2 linked regions of the Oryctolagus cuniculus genome follow. The protein of the gene in region 1 interacts with the protein of each later gene in a biochemical or structural test. Links are inferred from orthologs where the notes say so. Each region holds a gene or a part of one and is shown on either strand. Other genes may lie near its edges.

Region 1 (3,813 bases):
CGGGGCCAGCCCCGGTCACAGATATGCTGATGCTAGAAACACAAGATCCCGAAAGCTGGGGAGTGGGGAGGCAGCCCCGGAACCACAGCGGGGGACAGCCAGGCAGAGGTGGGCGCCCGTGGCCGGAAGGGTTAGGAAGCGGCCTGCTGCCTGGGCCAGGGGGCAGCTCCTGGCCGGCGGGGGAAGCCGTGAGGTTGCACAGACAAACACAAATGGTGCTTTTTAGAAATGTCAGAGCGAAGGAAGAGGCCCGGGCCACTGCAAGGGGCTCCGGTGGTCACCAGGCTTTCTGCCAGCCCCCTGCAGAGAGCCCAGGGCGAGGACCCCGCCCAGGGGCTGGTCCCGCGGACTCCTTGGCCTTGCATCTCAGCAACTGGAACGACTCACCCTTTCACCTCACATTCCTGTGCACCTCACCCATAAACCCCAGCAACACACCCATGTCTGCGCCTGCCTTTCTCACCTCCACCCTGGGGTCCTAATGACTGTGTGGGATGCTTCGTAGCACCTGTGGAGCCAAGGGGTGCCTCGGGCCCCCTCTTGGGCCTGAAGGGTCTGCCTGAGCTAGGCTGGTCCTGGATCCTTGACCATCACTGGCCCCGGGGAGGCACTGCCCTGACACCAGGCACACCCCAGTGGGGCCATTTTGGTACATAGGTAGGATAAAAGGGGGAGGGAGAAAAATGGACCAAGCCAAGCACCAGAGACCAGGTGTGATGTCACAAGACCCCCCCACAACATCCCTGGATCCTTACACACTCCCCTTGCACAGCAGGCTGGGGTCCCTGGGCCTCTGGCTCCCTCCATGCACCTGGCCAGGTGCCTGGAAGTCGCACAGGGTCCCCTCCCGTAGAAGAAACCTCCCGGTTCTGCCTGTATCCAGGGATTTCCTGGCTGCTAGAAACGGAGCCCCGCTAAGCCGGAGGCACTTGTCACAACCCCTCCCCACCCCGGCACGGGGTACTGCGCTCCGGCTTCGGGGAGGGGCCCCGGTACAGCCGCCCCACCCGCCCGCCCCGGGGGCTCCCCTCGGCGGGGAGCTCACCTTGCAGCTGCTTGAAGCGCCCCTCGAGCACGCTGGCGTACTGAGCCGGGTTGATGAACGCGGCCGGCGACAGCGGGAGGCCCCCGGGGTTCTGGGCCCCTTCCACGGCGTCGTAGTAAAACTCGCTGGCCCCGTTCAGGCCGTGCCCGGGCCCCCTGTTCACCCCGTTCCCATTCATGGTGCCCGCTGTCTGCTACAGCGCCCGCGGCCCCGAGTCCATGCTCCCTGCGCCGTGGCCAGCGTCCCCTCCCCGAGGCGCACGGCAGGGCGGGGGCTCCAGGGAGGTGGGGGTTTCGAGGAGCGCGGGCTGGCAGAGTTACGGGACGTCCGGGCTCCCGGGACAAGTGAGCGCTGCACACCTGGCGGCGGCGAGGGGAGACGGAGGCGGCTCCAGACAAACAGGTCGGACGGTGCGGGGGAGGGGTGGGAGGCGGAGCCTGGCTGGGGCGAGGGCCCGGCCCTGCGCGGGCGGAAAGGACCCGCCAGCGCCCGGAGTCCCGCCCTTTGGGGCCCCGAGCTGTCCAAGAGGGCAGAAGACCTGGGAGAGGGGTCCCAAGCCATCTCCCACTTCCCGAAGGTTTGCAGGCGGGGCGGGGCTGGCGCCTCCCCGGGACACAGGCTCCGATCCCCAGCTTAGGAAGCGGAGGAAGAAAAACCGGGAAAGGCAGATCTAGGCGCCTTGAGAGGCGTTTGCCTGTGGTCTCTCATCCAGACACAGGGGTCGCATGTGTCATCGCCGCCTCCAGAGCCAGCCCCTTCCCTGCGATGCACCCCACTGCCGGTGCACCTGCCGGCTTCCCTTCCCACCTCTCCGCGGACTTCAGCCTTTTGTCACTTGCAGCTTACATTTGCCCCCCCCCCCCTACAGTTTTTCAGCATTTATTTGGCACCTGCTGGTGCGAGGTCCAGCGCTGGGCAAAGCCCATCCAGGAACGCCTTGTCAGGGGGGCTCAGGTTAGGACTGGAGAGAAGCACCCAGCAGCACAGAATGGCACACATGTGTGTTTGTGTGTGCACAGGCATGGTGGTAGTCCTGGGTGGCATGTGTCACGTCCTACAGAAAACAATGACAGTTCCGGGTGGCATGTGTCCTGTGTGTACAGGGTGACAGTTCTAGGTTGCACGTGGCACGTGTGCACAGATATGGTAGTAGTCCTGGGTGGCACGTATCCTGTGTGCAGACACAGTGACAGCCCTGAGTGGCAAGTATCCCATGTGAACAGACGTGGTGACAGTTCTGGGTGGCACATGTATACAGATAGAGTGCAGTCCTGGGTGACATATGTGTACATGGTAGGTGACAGCCCTGGGTGACACGTGTCCTGTGTACACACCTAGTGACAGCCCTGGTGGCACATGTCATGTGCACATAGTGATGGTGCTGTGTGGTACGTGTTGCATGATGACATGACGACTGCTGTGCTACATAAATCCAAAGTCAGGGTACCACTTCCCCTACGAGGTGACGGTCTCCGTACCCCGACACCTTCTGTCTTCTCTGATCTACTAGAGCAGCAACATGAGGGTTTCACCAGCCCACCCAAAGACCCAGCCACGCAGAGATGCAGGAGAAAATGACAAGGACCTCCAGAAGCGATGGCCACCGCAAAGGGGCCTCACGCTAGCCCTGGGGAGGTTTTAAAAGTCCTGAAATCTGGACCATGTGTCCAAAGATCCTAATGTGCCATGCCCAGGGCGTTGGGAAGCTGCGTGTGTAAAAATCATCCCTGGCTGATCCTATAAAACATGTGGCGTCAGCAACCTCCCCCGGGAGCCGCTCCTCTTCCTCCCCCCCAGTCCGCAGCACCACCTCGCAGGTGGGAGTGGCTGGGCGGCAGGAGGGTCAGTGGCAGTGAGGAGGATGAGGAAGGGATGGAGAAGAGAAGCCAGACAGGGTGGGTGGCCTTCGGGTGTGTGGGTGACTCAGCCCCACGACAGCCGGTGGTGTCAGGTGGCAGCCACACTCTTGTTGCCAAGACAACCCCCCCCCCCATCGAAAGGAAGCCCGCTGGACGGGTTTGTTTGTGCCCAGAGCAGCCAGAAGGGGAGAGCCCTGGCCCGAGGGGAGGGCGGGGCAGGGCAAGGCAGGGTAGGGGCCGAGGCAGGCCAGCCCAGAGCGAGCCTGGTTGGCTGTGGAAAGCGGCGGTGGCGGGCAGAGAGAACCTGCTTCAGGGAATAGGTCTGTGAAATAATGGGAGTAACAGGCGGCAGGTGGAAGGAACAGGTTGGGGAGGCTGGGCGGGAGGACAGGTGTGGGGATGAAGGAAGACACAACTGGGAGGGGAGGGTGGGGACAGAAGTGACAGCAAGAGTAAAAGTGCATAGGGATGGAGGGAAATGACCCAGGGGCCTGGGACAGGCAGGGGACGCTGTGGGCCAGCAGGGCTGGCTTCTCCAGGAAGCTGGAGGACATCCAGTGCACTCATGAGCCTGGATTTGGGGGGACCAGGGCCTTGGTGGGGTGCTCTGGCTCTCCTGGGTCCTCACCTCCTCACCGACCCTCTCATGACCTCACCTGCCAGCGCCTTAATCCGAGACCTCTCAAAGAGGCGGGCGGAGCTGCTGTCATTGTCCCAGTCGGTGTCGGGCAGGTCCCAGCGGTTGTTGATGTCACTGTACTGGCCCTGGATCTCCAAGCTGTCGAAGTCTGTGGGCGACAGAGTGCTGCTCATGGTGGGGACGGCTTCCTGATCCTGCAAGAGGACGTGGCTGGTGAGGGGCACCTCGGAGCCACCGAGCCTTCCGCTCACCGTGTCCTACCCTCCTGC
Region 2 (2,831 bases), on another chromosome or scaffold:
TGCACCTTTGCCTGCTGCATGCCGCTGCTTCCCAAAAGGGCTACTCACCCAATCCATGTGGAGTACAGCCTCTCCTGAGGTGCAGATATCTGCAAAGGTGGGGGAAGAGGTGGATGTGAGTCGTCCACCCTGCCCCCGCTTTCCCTCGGAGGCACACCTCACCACCCAAGGCAGTCCATGCGACAGGCTTCAAGTTCTCTCCTGCTGGACCCCGTGGCCTCTGTGGAGGCAACTGTGGCTGGCCCGACCTTCACCTGGGGAAGCTGGGGCTATGAGGGGGCAGAGACTCCACACAGGAACCACACTCCTTCCTGCAGGGTCCCTTCTGCACCAAGATGCCAGACTGCACCACACGGGAGCCAGAGCGCAGCAGCAATAAAACTGAACCCCTGTCCACTTTACACTGTCCTGAAAAGACTGATGGGGCCCTCAGCGCCAGGCCCCACAACATCTGGGTATTAAAATTACCCTCCTTTTGAGTGAAGAGGTGGACTGTGTAAGCCCTCCTCTGGCCAGCCTAAGCCTGAGGGTCCAGGTGTAGGCTGGGAGCCACCTGCTACTGCCTGTAGAGTGCTGGCTGCCCAACAACTCGGGCAGAACCAGAGGAAGGCCAGAGCACGTGGGGCCCAGGGCTACCCTGCTGGGGCCCACCATGCTCCTACCCTGATCTTCACATCTTTTGGAGCCAGCTTCTTCACCTCACTCAGTAGTCTGTCACCAAAACCTGAATGGGCAGAAAAGTAGAATCTCAAGTCAATTCTTTGGCTTTCTGGGCCCAGCAGGCTCTGGAAGCTTCCAGGGGAAAGGCCCTATGAGCAAAGACCAACCTTTGAACAGGGTGGAGCCCCCCGAGAGGACAATGTTGGAGAACAGCGTGCGCCGCAGGTCCATGTCAGACTTCTGGATGGCAAACACCAGGACCTCGTGGATTCCCTCGCTCTCTTCGCCAATCAAGTCTGGCCTGAACAGCAGCTCAGGGGCCCGGAATCGAGAAGGACCAATCTGCAGGGTGGAGGGCCGGCTTCAAAGGGTGGGGTTGGGGCCAAAGTCCCTTTAGGGGTGGGAATCGAAGCAGCGCCTCTGCCCATCTCTCGGTAACCAGGTGGCTCCGAAGGCCTGCCACATGACACTCCTACACTCACGTTAGGGGCCCAAGGGACAGAGATAAGGCTCTGGGGAACAAAGAGGAGACGTGCCTATGTTTAATTCTAGCTCTGGCACTTTCCAGCTAAGAGATCGTTAACATTACTGTGCGGATTCACTCATTTATTTAATCATGGAAACTTCTTGCAATGGGAGATCCAGGGAGCAGCAGCTCAGCCTGCACTGTGCCCAGGAGTGGTCAGGATGGCACCAGCCATCCACGTACAATCCCAAGACCTAGCGTGATCCTGCTTGAGCCCCCGCCCCCTACATGGGAGGGAGCACAGGCCCTGCCTTCTGCTCTGCAGGAGCAGGGCTGCTCACGTTGCTCATGTGGCTCTAGGCAGAGGGCAAAGGACCGTTGGACTGGACCATAGCCCCTCCAGGCCTGTTGTCTGGGCCCAGAGTTTTTGTGGACCTGAGGGGTTAAAGGGGAGGGGTCCAGCCACCTACCTCAATGGTGCTGCCATCAGGCAGGTAGTACTGAGCCTTCTCTGTCTCCAGTGTCTCATCCTTCTGGGGGTTTATGGACAGGTAGCAAGCCCTCTGCAGAACAAGCATTACCGTCAGCTGGCAGGAACACGTAGCACACACCCACAATCCTGGGGGAGCCACGTGCTGCAGACACCAACCCCTGACAGTGACTGCCCTCAAAGTTGGAAGAGCTGCTACCCAGAAGCAGAAGCAGGGGAGTCTCTGTCAGCCTCCGCGGGATGGCATCTAGGCTACGTGTTTGTACTGCTCCACCTTCCTGGTGGGCAAGCTTGGATGCTTGGTTGTCTATACTGAGGGTCTGAGACCACGCACAATTTTAGCACAGGTCTAGATGACATCTTTCTCCTACCTTTCACACAGTTCTAGGTCCTCCTGACCCAGCGCAGGGGTTTCCCTACAGTGACAGGTGGCATGACAGTTCAATTACTTAAAATGAAGTATGACCTCTTCAAAGATGTAGAAGAACCTATGCAACTTAATTTGGACCTAAAGTAAAAAAACATCATGAGGTGCCAGCGTTGTGGTGTAGTAGGCTAAACCTCCGCCTGCGGTACCCATATGGGTGCTGGTTCATGTCCTGGCTGCTCCTCTTCTGATCCAGCTCTCTGTTACGGCCTGGGAAAGCAGTGGAGGATGGCCCAAGTACTTGGGCCCCTGTGCCCATGTGGGAGACCTAGAAAAAACAGAAGCTCCCGGCTCCCGGCTTTGGATTAGCCAAGCCCAGCTGTTGCAGCCATTTGCAGAGTGAACAGCAGATGGAAGACCACTCTCTCTCTCTCTCTCTCTCTCTCTCTAACTTTGCCTCTCTTCTCTAATGAATACATAAAATCTTGAAAAAGTCATGAGCTCCTCTGTACCCATTATTCAGTTGAGGAAATGGAAGCAGCTCCCGTTCCTTCCACAAGATGGCAGTGCTTCTGGAAGCTGACTCCATCAGCAAGAGTGGGCTGGGATCACACAGTGGCCGGGAGGCCTGGCTGGGTGGGACCTGAACAATCCCCGTGGCCAGGAATCGCTCTTCAGTGCAGGTCACCATTCCCCATCCCATCCCTAGGCCCATGGGGCAGCACTCACTTCTTTGATGGCCTTTACGATCTCAAACTCGGAGGATGAGTGGAAATCGTAGCCCTCCTTACGCAGGTAGAGGCGAAGGAAGCGAGAGACGTCTCGGCCAGCGATGTCGATGCGCATGA

What was found.
Region 2: the proteins of SPTBN2 (region 1) and ACTR1A form a complex in vitro, tested with the Homo sapiens proteins (2 studies listed by BioGRID). The link is inferred for Oryctolagus cuniculus from reciprocal best matches to the Homo sapiens genes SPTBN2 and ACTR1A.

What each region holds. Positions count from the first base shown.
Region 1 is NC_091432.1:5,207,065-5,210,877, reverse strand, and holds part of SPTBN2 (spectrin beta chain, non-erythrocytic 2), read right to left. Parts: coding exon 3,796-3,813; intron 3,739-3,795; coding exon of another isoform or gene 3,693-3,738; coding exon 3,561-3,692; intron 1,835-3,560; exon of another isoform or gene 1,224-1,834; coding exon of another isoform or gene 1,046-1,223; intron 1-1,045. UniProt on the Homo sapiens protein: Probably plays an important role in neuronal membrane skeleton.
Region 2 is NC_091446.1:27,489,068-27,491,898, reverse strand, and holds part of ACTR1A (alpha-centractin), read right to left. Parts: coding exon 2,713-2,831; intron 1,690-2,712; coding exon 1,597-1,689; intron 1,003-1,596; coding exon 828-1,002; intron 725-827; coding exon 663-724; intron 90-662; coding exon 49-89; intron 1-48. UniProt on the Homo sapiens protein: Part of the ACTR1A/ACTB filament around which the dynactin complex is built. The dynactin multiprotein complex activates the molecular motor dynein for ultra-processive transport along microtubules.